Macaca fascicularis: one gene and its partner. The protein of the gene in region 2 purifies or fractionates together with the protein of the main gene of each other region. This does not show direct contact. Links are inferred from orthologs where the notes say so. Each region holds a gene or a part of one and is shown on either strand. Other genes may lie near its edges. The genes, in order: SQSTM1 and RAD51.

Evidence for each region.
Region 1: the proteins of RAD51 (region 2) and SQSTM1 purify together in Homo sapiens (affinity purification with western blotting; 3 studies listed by BioGRID). This does not show direct contact. The link is inferred for Macaca fascicularis from reciprocal best matches to the Homo sapiens genes RAD51 and SQSTM1.

The regions. Positions count from the first base shown.
Region 1 is NC_088380.1:186,724,691-186,730,456, reverse strand, and holds the end of SQSTM1 (sequestosome-1), read right to left. Parts: intron 2,935-5,766; coding exon 2,720-2,934; intron 2,381-2,719; coding exon 2,185-2,380; intron 1,268-2,184; coding exon 1,110-1,267; 3' UTR 403-1,109; downstream 1-402. Other genes in the region: MRNIP (MRN complex-interacting protein), read left to right, coding at 1-269. UniProt on the Homo sapiens protein: Molecular adapter required for selective macroautophagy (aggrephagy) by acting as a bridge between polyubiquitinated proteins and autophagosomes.
Region 2 is NC_088381.1:17,228,787-17,235,646, reverse strand, and holds part of RAD51 (DNA repair protein RAD51 homolog 1), read right to left. Parts: coding exon 6,834-6,860; intron 4,116-6,833; coding exon 3,978-4,115; intron 1-3,977.

The DNA of each region.
Region 1 (5,766 bases), on a different chromosome or scaffold from region 2:
CTCCAGCACAGGCTAAGCAGGGGACCCCCGGGACCCCCAGAGCACAGGCCTCAAGGGAAGGCCTCAGCAGGCCCACTGACGCTGTCCAGCTTCCTCGGGCCACACACCCCACCACATCCGGGCCTGAGAGGCCCTGCGGGAAGACCTCATGGGACGCAAGGACTCCCTGGGCAGAGGGTGGGCCCCTGGTCCAGGAGCCACAGAATCCCCAACTCCCACGACTGTGTGACCTCTTTACAACTGGTGAAGACTTTGATGATGATCTGTGACTGGCAGGTTATTATTAATCGAGATACACTTGTTAGGAGGGACAGGGTTCCCTAAGGCACTTTTAAAGATACTGTATAAGAACCACCAATAAACTTACTGTCAAACAGATCATTTCTCTCTATGCAAATGTCATTGGTTAAAGTGCTGATGCCATTTAATTAGATCGTTTACAAACGTAACAGGATGGCTACAAAGAGATCTTATTTTAAAAGCAGCTGATGGTTTGGCAATGAGAGAACTACAGTGGTGGAGAGACCAGGAGGCAGCTCTCAGCGAAACCAACATTACGGATGCCCTGCATGAGCCTTCTCAGTCCCAGCAGGAAGCCCACCACACTGGCTGCCCCGGCCTCCCCACTGCCTGTGCCAGGACAGCCGCCTCCCCTGCTTACCCGCCAACAACACCTAGGCATCCTTTATCTAAAATCAGAGCGTACCAGGTCTCTAGCAGAAAATCAACTAAATGTCAGGGACCTCCGAGTCATTTAAAAAGAGAAAGTGGAAGGCCATTAGGCAAGCTATGTCTGGGCTGCTAATGTGGCCCCTGCAGGGAGGGGCCAGGAGCACTGCGGTGAGCCTCAGGTCTCGCAGGCCCAGCCCTGCTGCAGGGAACCAGAGCACCCAGGAGACCAGTCTTGCTTCTCAGACATCACACACACGGGGACCCTCCCCTCATGTCACTTGTTTTGCTGCCCTAAATGGCTTCTTCCACCCTAACCCCTGATCCCCTGATCCTGGAAGGCGGCAGAGAAACTGGCCCGTACAGAGACCTGCAATTCTACACTAGCTTAACAGCTACGAGACAGAAGAGGGGGACACAGAAGAGGTGGGTAAAAGCGGTCACAATGGCGGGGAGTGCTTTGAATACTGGATGGTGTCCAGAGCCGCCCCGATGTCGTAATTCTTGGTCTGCAGGAGCCTGGTGAGCCAGCCGCCTTCGTCAGAGAAGCCCATGGACAGCATCTGGGAGAGGGACTCAATCAGCCGCGGGTCAGCCTCTGCCAAAACAGTAAGGAAGCCATGAGGAGTGATGCTGAGCCCTGTGAGTGACCCGAAACACACACCCTCCTGCCTTGGCCAGCGGGACCAAGGCCTGCCAGTGTCCGAGTGCCCAGAGCTCTGGCCCTCACAGGCCACAGTGGACCTGCTTTCCCTGTAAAGGGCCAACCAGTCTTTTTCACACTGTTCAACTCTGCCACTGTGACACAAGGCAGCCAGGTGGTATGTAAACAAAACTATCGCTGGACACTGAAATACGCATTTCCTCTAACTGTCACATCTTTTGATTGAAAAATACAAGAACTACTCTTGGCCCATAGGCCATAGCTCGCCATCCCCTGCCCTAAGGCAGAGAAGACACACTGGCAGCGCACAGCAGGTTGTGCACAGACCTTGGTTTACACACACACGGCTGCAGTGACAATGAGGAGTCTCTGTCAGCTGTCCCCACCCCCCACCGCTGCCTTCCACACCATCCACTTCAACGGTGGCTTCTGCCTGGCTCTTCCAGGGATCTTGGCTATGACCCCCACTCAGACCAGCACTCCCTGAGGAGACACTGAAGAGGTCTGAGCCCAGTGTGAGTAGTAGGGACACACCCAGTGCTGCCCCCTCTCTGTGTCACACCTACCTTAATTCCTGGTCTGCATGTTAAGTTTTAGAAACTCCTACAATTAATATTCCTGGCTCTGGAGTTTGCTTAAAGAAAAACATTTTTAGAACTCCTGCATTAGCAGAGCTTACTCACTGCTGCTCAGGGTAGACGTAAGAGGACAAAACCAACTCCTAACCTCCCACACCTACAGACAAGCCCTGCAGTGGAGAACGTCCCATCCTGTTTGTGTCGCTGGAATCGGGGGGCAGGATGCTCTGAAGGGAAAGGTAGGACTGAACACAGAACTCTTGGTTCACTTGCCTGGTGGGAGATGCGGGTACAAGGCAGCTTCCTTCAGCCCTGTGGGTCCCTCCTGGGAGGGGTCCAGAGAGCTTGGCCCTTCGGATTCTGGCATCTGTAGGGACTGGAGTTCACCTGTGGACGGGTCCACTTCTTTTGAAGACAAATGGGTCCAGTCATCGTCTCCTCCTGAGCAGTTATCAGACTCCATCTGTTCCTGAAACAGAACTCACCATGAGCATACAAGAGACACGCGCAACAGGCCAAGCCTGACCATGGCACTGACTCCTGGCAAACAGTCGGGGAGCGTGCACGCACACATGTGTTTAAGGCTGCAGGGGGCTACGGGGATCAGTGAGCCACTCACAAAGACCAAGTAACTACAAAGTTCTAGCAGGTTCCCAGAGTGACTTTAATGGCACAGACATCACTGCAGCAGCAGCAGCTCCCTCAGGTTTCATAAGTGGCTGCATAAGTGCTGAGGATGAGGCGGAGGTGCAGCTACAAATCGCTAGGCTGCCCGAGGTCCCAGGTGGTGGGAGGGGCACAGGCTTGCCTCAGGCCGCCCCTCGGACTCCAAGGCGATCTTTCTCATCTGCTCTGCCAGAGACTGCGTGGCGCCCTCAACATTCCCACCCGGCTTGCTGGGGTCAGAGCAGCAGCTGCTTGGCTGTGAGCTGTTCTTCTCCTCTGTGCTGGAACTCTCTGGAGAGGCAGGGGTCAGGCGGCTTCTTTTCCCGCCGTGCTCCACGTCAATATCCACTTCAATGCCTAGAGGCCAAGGAGGAGAGAGAAAGCTGTGACACTCCCCCAAGGAGGCAGCTGCGAGCAGGAGTGTGGCCTGTGGGGACTACAGACTCATGAAGATCTCACGTTCAGTCCACACAAGCAGGTGAGGGTGTGGATGGCGGCACTCAGTGTGTGGATGCAGGGGCTAGGTTCTCCTACCCAGCTTGACCCCGGAATCACACAGTTAGTATGGGACTAGACGATGCAAACGTGTGAGTCCGAGGCTTCTCCCAATATCCCAGCTACAAATTTCTGTGGCTTCTGGAAACATTCTCGGTGTGCCCGCGATACTGGAGCTTTCTCTTTCTCCAATTCAGTAAAACATTAACCTCAGCTAGCATCTAAGGTCAGCTTCTAAGCCAGAAAGTCAAAGAGACCTTGTTTTTTCTAACCATGCAGGGTATGGGCTACACAGCAGGTAGGGCCAAGCCCTAAGTACGGGGGAGCCAACACTGCATGTGGCGGGCACCTCCAGCCACAGTGATGGAAGGCTGTGTGTGCCTCATGACACTTGCACACAGAGGCTTTGGGTGATGACATAACACGCACCTAAACGCTGGGCTCCGCTCGGAGTGGACAGGCCATGCAGGCGAGGCATGGGGCCCGACGTGGCAGCGCAGGGAGCCTGCACACCTCCAGGCTCACGTAACTCACCAAGGACAGAGGAAAGAATCACCTGCACTATTCTGAAATTAAATAGTGTCAAAAGTCTCCATGCCCACAGCTTAGAGTCACCGGTTGTCAAAGGCTGTGGTGCACACACTGCTCCCATCCCACTCCCCAAAGCCTCCCTGCACCCTTTCAGCTCATGCTGCTCTCACCTGATGATCGAGTTCACATCTGTGCATTTCCTACTCTAGACCAGTATCTGCCTCTCCTTCCACTACCCTTTCCAAGACTCAGTTTTTTGTTAAAAGAACATTCAGTGTTTCAGCTAGTACCTCTATCTAAATGTTCTTTGCTGGGTCAAGGGGCAGACTATTTCCTTGCATAGCTTTTTGTTTTCCTACCACTGATGACGGCTTCTCTTTTTTTTAGACGGAGTCTCGCTCTGACGCCCAGGCTGGAGTGCAGTGGCGCAATCTCTCGGCTCACTGCAACCTCCGCCCACCGGGTACAAGTGATTCTCCTGCCTCAGCCTCCAGAGTAGCTGGGACTACAGGCACATGCTACCATGCCCAGCTAACTTTTATATTTTTACTGTAGAGACGGGGTTTCACCATGTTGGCCAGGCTGGTCTTGAACTCCTGACCTCAGGTGATCCGCCCCCCAACATGCTGGGATTACCGACATGAGCCACCGCACCCAACCTGCCTTCTCTTTTCATTTGCTGACTTTCCCCATGTTCTCCCCACAGCATCTCCATAGTTTTCTACAAACTACAGACTATTGCTCAGAGGGTGAAGTGGATCCGAGGCCCCACTGGTTCTGGTGTTTTCCATAGAGAGTGTCCCCGGCTGTGCAGCCTCCTGTTCCAGCCAGGACTGGCGGCTCTCTGGGCAGAGGCTCTGCTGCACTGCTGTGACCACCTTTACTTTCACCCTCTGTCCTATTAGGTCCCCTGTTTCCTAATAGCTCTGTGCTTCATTTCGGGTTTATCTCTTCATGTGGTTCAAACCAAGGTTAAAATAATTAAGACTGTATACCAGAAAGTAACTTTGTTCTGCCCTGATACTTGATTGTTTTAGATGGTTATAGAACTCTAGGCTGGACCAGGCACAGTGGCTCACGCACGTAATCCTAACACTTTGGGAGAACAACGTGGGAGATCTCTTGAGCCCAGGAGTTCAAAGTCGGCCTGGGCAGCATGGCAAGACCCCATCTCTACAAAATGTTTTTAAAACAGCTGGGCACAGGGCTGGGCGTGGTGGCTCACGCCTGTAATCCCAGCACTTTGGGAGGCCAAGGCAGGTGGATCATGAGGTCAGGAGTTCAAGACCAGCCTGGCCAAGATGGTGAAACCCCATCTTTACTGAAAATATAAAAATTAGCCAGGCGTGGCGGCGGATGCCTGTCATTCCAGCTACTCGGGAGGCTGAGGCAGAAAACTGCTTGAACCCAGGAGGTGGAAATTGCAGTGAGCTGAAATCACATCACCGCACTCCAGCCTGGGCGACAGCAAGACTCCGACTTGGGGGGGTAAAAAAAAAAAAAAAAAAAAAAAAGAAAAAAGAAAAAAAAAAATCTAGGTACAGTGGCACATGCCTGTAGTTCCAGCTACTTGGGAGGCTGAAGCAGAAGGATCACTTGAGCCCACGAGATCAAGACAGCTGTACCATTGCACTCCAACCCAGTTGACAGACCGTTTCACAAACAAGAGAATTATAGGCTGAAAAGCCTTTTTAACTTTTTTTTTTTTTTTGACACGGAGTCTCACTCTGTCGCCCAGGCTGGAGTGCAGTGGCCGGATCTCAGCTCACTGCAAGCTCCGCCTCCCGGGTTCCCGCCATTCTCCTGCCTCAGCCTCCCGAGTAGCTGGGACTACAGACGCCCGCCACTAGGCCTGGCTAGTTTTTTTGTATTTTTTAGTAGAGACAGGGTTTCACCGTGTTAGCCAGGATGGTCTTGATCTCCTGACCTCGTGATCCGCCCGTCTCGGCCTCCCAAAGTGCTGGGATTACAGGCTTGAGCCACCACGCCCAGCTTTAACTGATTTTTTTGAGTCATCAGTTGTTCCACTGTCTCCTAGCTTTTCATGATTGTTTGCTCTTTGTATTCCCAAGTATTTACAATAACCTAAAATTTTAGAAGCCCCTCTTTATCCTCAGGGTTCTGACGCTGGACAGCGATAAGCTTTGCTGTGGGGTCTTTCTC
Region 2 (6,860 bases):
CCCAGCCACTCGGGAGGCTGAGGCAGAAGAATCACTTGAATCCAAGAGGCGGAGGTTGCAGTCAGCAGAGATCGCACCACTGCACTCCAGCCTGGGCACAGAGGGAGACTCTGTCTCAAAAAAAAAAACAAACAAACAAAAAAACCAACAAATTAGCAGGCCATTGTGGAGCGTGCCTGTGGTCCTAGTTACCTGGGAGGCTGAGGCAGAAGGTTTGTTTGAACCAGGAGTTGGAGGCTGCAGTGAGCTATAATCGCACCACTGCACTGCAACAAAGTAACAGAACAAGACTCTGTCTCTAAAAATGAAACAGATAAATCCTAACCTAACCTTCCAAAGAACAGCAAACAAAACAAAGCAAGCAGAAGGATGGAAATAAAACAAGTTGGGTCGAAACTATTAGGTAAAGGACAGAATAATAGAGAAAAATCAATGAAACCAAAAGCTGGTTCTTTGAAAACATCAACGAAATTGACAAACTTTTAGCTGCACTGACCAAAAAAAGAGAGAAAAGACTCAAATTACTAAAATCAAGAATGAAAGAGGGAACATTACTACTGACTTTATGGAAATAAAAAGTAGTATAAGGAAACCCTTTGAGCAACTCTATGTCAACAAGTTAGATAACTTAGATGAAATAAGCAAATTCCTAGAAAGATAAACTACAAAAACTCACTCAAGAAGAAAATCTAGGCCGGGCGCGGTGGCTCACGCCTGTAATCCCAGCACTTTGGGAGGCCGAGTCGGGCGGATCACGAGGTCAGGAGATCAAGACCATACTGGCTAACATGGTGAAACCCCATCTCTACTAAAAATACAAAAAATTAGCCAGGCATGGTGTTAGGCACCTGTAGTCCCAGCTACTCGGGAGGCTGAGGCAGGAGAATGGCATGAACCTGGGAGGCGGAGCTTATAGTGAGCTGAGATCGCGCCACTGCACTCCAGCCTGGGTGACAGAGCAAGACTCCGTCTCAAAAAAAAAAAAAACCAAAAAAAAAAAGAGGCCGGGCGCGGTGGCTCAAGCCTGTAATCCCAGCACTTTGGGAGGCCAAGACGGGCGGATCACGAAGTTAGGAGATCGAGACTATCCTGGCTAACTCGGTGAAACCCCGACTCTATTAAAAAATACAAAAACCTAGCCGGGCGAGGTGGCGGGCACCTGTAGTCCCAGCTACTTGGGAGGCTGAGGCGGGAGAATGGCGTAAACCCGGGAGGCGGAGCTTGCAGTGAGCTGAGATCGGGCCACTGCACTCCAGCCTGGGAGACAAAGCGAGACTCTGTCTCAACAACAACAACAAAAAAAAAAAAAAAAAAAAGAAAAGAAAATCTAAATAGACCCATGGAAAGTACAAAGATTAAACTTTTATAATTTTAAAATTTCCCATGAAGGAAAAAAAAAATAAACAAATAGTTGAAAAAGTCAATGAAAGTTTATTTTCTAAACTTTTCTATATATTTAATATTTCATTTAAAAATTTATTACAGGGCCAGGTGCATTGGCTCACGCCTGTAATCCCAGCACTTTGGGAGACTGAGGCGGGCGGATTACCCGAGGCCAGGATTTTGAGACCAGCCTGACCAATTCATATACTCACTGTCAATTCCGTGCAACAAACATATACTAGACACTTACTCTGTATGAAACATAATCCCAGGGACTCTGAAGGATATGGAGAAAAAGAAGAGCAGATTCTTGCCTCCACAGAACTTATAATTTAATCAGGAAGATACACTATACAAAATAACTATAGTACAAGTAGATGTGATGGGTAATATAAGAAGTACTAACAAAAGAGCCATGGGAGCTCAAGGAATATAGACTACTTCCTTTGGTGAAAAACAGAAAGAGAAGGTATTAGCAAAGACGAAACTGGTAGAAATGGCCAGGTTAGTGGCATGTGCCTGTAGTCCCAGCTACTCAGGAGGCTGAGGAGAATTCCTTGAGCCCAAGAGTTTGAAGCTGCAGTGAGCTATGATCATGCCATTGCACTCCAGCCTGGGCAACAGAGTGAGAGTCTGTCTCTCTCTCTCTTTTTTTTTTTTTTAAAAGGTGGGCATAGTGGCTCGTGCCTGTAATTTCAGCACTTTGGGAGGCTGAGGCAGGTGGACTGCTTGAGGCCAGGAGTTTGAGACCAGCCTGGGCAACATGGTGAAACCCCGTTTCAACTGAAAATACAAAAAGTAACCAAGTGTGGTGGTGGGCGCCTGTAATCCCAGCTACTCGGGAGGTTGAGGCAGGAGAATCACTTGAACCTGGGAGGCAAAGGTTGCAGTGAGCCAAGCCAAGATTGCACCACTGTGCTCCAGCCTGGGTGACACAGCGAGACTCTGCCTCAGAAAAAAAAAAAAAAAGGAAAACAAACAATACAATCATAATCTTTACTGGCCAGAAACTAAGAACATAAAATATTGAAAAGTTAAGACACATATGTCTATACCATTTTGCATTTCAAATCATGATATTCTAGGTTTGCATTTTTGTGTTCATAGAAGCAGAGAAGTGATTCGATTTCTGAAACCAAGATCTCACAAGGCAAAAAGTAAAGATCCTGTCAGCATTTGTTCATTCACAAAAACTGATGCCCAAAAAGTGAAAACAGAAAGACTTTAGGGACCCCTACTGGCTTAGTCAATATGACAATCTTTTAACAAAAGTACTGTTAAGGACTCAGAACTCTTTCTTATTTCCAATTAAGCAACCACTTCAACAAATATTCATTTATTTGAGTAATCCAATAAATTTATCTAACGCTAACAGTAATCGATACGTGAAAATACAATTTTATAAATAAATATTTGCAGATCGGGCGCGGTGGCTCAAGCCTGTAATCCCAGCACTTTGGGAGGCCGAGACTGGCGGATCACGAGGTCAGGAGATCGAGACCATCCTGGCTAACACGGTGAAACCCCGTCTCTACTAAAAAATACAAAAAACTAGCCGGGCGCGGTGGCGGGCGCCTGTAGTCCCAACTACTCGGGAGGCTGAGGCAGAAGAATGGCGTGAACCCGGGAGGCGGAGCTTGCAGTGAGCTGAGATCCGGCCACTGCACTCCAGCCTGGGCGGCAGAGCGAGACTCCGTCTCAAAAAAAAAAAAAAAAATAAATAAATAAATAAATAAATAAATAAATAAATATTTGCAGCGGGGCATGGTGGCTCACACCTGTTATCTCAGCACTTTAGGAGGCTGAGGTAGGCAGATCACAAGGTCAGGAGATCAAGACCATCCTGGCCAACATGGTGAAACCCTGTCTCTACCAAAAATACAAAAATAAGCTGGGCGTGGTGGCAGGTACCTGTAGTCCCAGCTAATGGGGAGGCTGAGGCAGGAGAATTGCTTGAACCTGGGAGGCGGAAGTTGCAGTGAGCCGAGATTGCACCACTGTACTCCAGCCTGGCAATAGAGCAAGACTCTGTCTCAAAAAAAAAAAAAAAAAAAAAAAAAAATCTGCTCTATACTATATAAAACTGCAAGGATAAAGGCAGTAAAACTGTGTAACTATATAAATACTGAAGGAATAGGTTCATAAAACAAAATGTAACCATGGCGAAATATGGATGTTAAAGAACTATATGAAGCTAGAAAAATAAAGAGGCCAGGCACAGTAGCTCACACCTGTAATCCCAGCACTTTGGGAGGCTGAGGTAGGTGAATCACCTGAGCTCAGGAGTTCGAGACTACCCCAGCATGGTGGCATGTGCCTGTAGTCCCAGCTACTTGGGAGACTGAGGTGGAAGAATCGCTTGAGCTTAGGAGGCGAAGGCTGCAGTGAGCTGAGATGGCACCACTGCACTCCAGCCTGTGTGACAGAGCAAGAACCTGTCTCCAAAAAAAAAAAAAAGAAACAGGTAACAGTCACCCCTGGAAAGGAGAACGAGATGACAGAAGAATGAGAGATGGAAGGAAGAAGTCTTTCACTACATTACCTTTTGTACTAGTCCCACTAATGCCTCCTTAGGTCAATTAAGCAGTACTTACCAGAATTTTATCAGCTTTGGCTTCACTAATTCCCTTAATATTTATTAGCTCCTTCTTTGGTGCATAGGCAACAGCCTCCACAGTATGGAATCCAGCTTCTTCCAATTTCTTCACATCGTTGGCATTTATGCCACACTGCTGCAAATGAAGAAAACCATGGATAAATTTAAACTTTAGTTATTTAATCTAACACAGATGATATGTGTCCTACATACGCCACAGAGGTGCTTGAAGACTTGTAATACAACTGTCCCTTGAAATCCTGGGGTGGGGAGATGGGAAGTTGGTTCCAGGATCCCCAGCAGATAACAAAATCCAAGAATGCTCAAGTCCCTTATATAAAATGGCATATTACCTGCATATAACCTCTATACATCCTCCTGTATACTTTTTTTTTTATATGTAGTTGATTGAATTTTTGATATGCAGTTTGTTGAATTTGCTGATGCAGAATCCAGGGATATAGAGAGCCTACTGGATTATATGCAAAAGCTGAAAAATGAGCCCTATATATGAGGTACTTAATAACAAATTAACAACCTTTTCATTATCAAAATCAATAATTTTAAACTAGCACTATGCCATGTATATTAAAAAGAACTCTTATAAGCAAATGGAATTAAAAAGTAACTCCCAACTTTTTTTGTGTGATCCTAAATGATCTCCGAGACTTTGGGCCCTACAAGATCAGTTTAAGACCGTGTTGCTCAGCACTTTCCATATCAAGCACATAAAAAATGATATTTTTACACTATGGTAGGGTAAACAGATAAGGCTGCTCAGAATGAAAAGAGCGCTATCTTGGCCTATCAATACCTTTTTGTTGAACAATGACCAGAAAGCTCTGCTCTAACAACTGACATTAACAGTGAGGAAAACTACTTTTTGTCAGGGACTTTTATATCTCTTCTTAAACCACCCAAATCCACCTCTTTCTTCCTATATTCAAGTCAGTTTTGGTTTCATTAGCCACCAAAACCATGACTTCTGGGAAAACATGAGTTAGTAGGTGAATGTGAGTGTATTCAGGGGTTGGGAGAATTTAGAAGAGGGGAAAGATTAGTTTGCCAACATAAGCCATGTCTGCTGTTAATATTTAAGCAATAAGCAATATGCATGTATGAGTATAAGGATGCTCACGGCACCAGAAGTTATGATTCTGAACTTTAAAATGTTTATCACAAATCCATTTAAGTAACTTCTAGAGTCTTTTTTAAATAAGCTTTTTGCACTCCTAGAGTCTTGAAGATTAGTCGGAGATGGGAAATTTGAAAAAAGAGACAGAAAAATCAAGTCTTTCTCTGCTTTCCCCCTACTTATCTCAGCCCCAATCAGCTGCACTCACACGGCAGTCTCTATACAATGGGCAGAAATAGTGTGAGGCCTCAGCTCCGGTGCTTAATGTTCTTGTGCAGAATCCTGAATTGGAGCTTATCTCTTATACCGTAACACCACCACAGCCTTCTCTCTGCCAATGACAGCTGACAGCACAAAGCTAAGTCAATAAAGAGAAGTTGGCTGCCGGGCGCGGTGGCTCAAGCCTGTAATCCCAGCACTTTGGGAGGCCGAGACGGGCGGATCACGAGGTCAGGAGATCGAGACCATCCTGGCTAACACGGTGAAACCCCGTCTCTACTAAAAAAAATACAAAAAACTAGCCGGGCGAGGTGGCGGGCGCCTGTAGTCCCAGCTACTCGGGAGGCTGAGGCAGGAGAATGGTCTAAACCCGGGAGGCGGAGCTTGCAGTGAGCTGAGATCCGGCCACTGCACCCCAGCCTGGGCGACAGAGCAAGACTCTGTCTCAAAAAAAAAAAAAAAAAAAAAAAAGAAGTTGCTACCCTGTCTTCCTTGCATAACTGGTCCAGGCCACTATAATTCCCAGAACGGCACTTTCATACTTAGTGCAAACAGCACAGGATGCTTTGGCTGGGCGTGGTGGCTCATGACTGTAATCCTAGCAGTTTGGGACGCTGAGGCAGGTGGATTGCTTGAGACCAGGAGTTCAAGACCAACCTGGTCAACACAGTAAGACCCATTTCTTAAAAACAAAACAAAAAACAGCACAGGCCGGGCATCGTGGCTCATGCCTGTAATCCCAGCACTTTGGGAGTCCAAGGCGGGCAGATCACCTGAGGTCGGGAGTTCGAGACTAGCCTGACCAACATAGAGAAACCCTGTCTCTACTAAAAAATACAAAAAAACTAGCCAGGTAAGGTGGCGGGCGCCTGTAGTCCCAGCTACTCGGGAGGCTGAGGCAGGAGAATGGCGTAAACCCGGGAGGCGGAGCTTGCAGTGAGCGGAGATCCAGCCATTGCACTCCAGCCTGGGCGACAGAGCGAGACTCCATCTCCCAAAAAAAAAAAACAAAAACAAAAACATATACAGATATAAAATTAGCTGGGCGTGGTAGCGCATGCCTGTAATTCCAGCTACTTGGGAGGCTGAGGCAGGAGAATCGCTTGAACCTGGGAGGCAGAGGTTGTAGTGAGCCGAGATTGCGCCTCTGTACTCCAGCTTAGGCAACAAGAGCGAAACCCATCTCAAAACAAACAAACAAACAAAAAAAAGCACAGCACAGACATTCCACCATGGGATCCTAGGCCTCAGTTTCTGACAGTCCAGCTCTCAGAAATAAAAATGATAAAGTAAGAAGAGAATGGTTGACAAAGGAAGACGCCCTGCCAGACATATTTAGCAACAATCTGCAGCCTTTCCACAGGATTATTGACAACACTTCTGAAAAGTCTTGGGTCTTGACCTTGGTAGTAAACCTACAGTTTATGTAAAGGTTATAATACCTTCCACTAGGTAGAAGAATCTAGTATATATTTTCAAAATTAGCAACTAAGCACATACCTCTAACCGTGAAATGGGTTGTGGGCC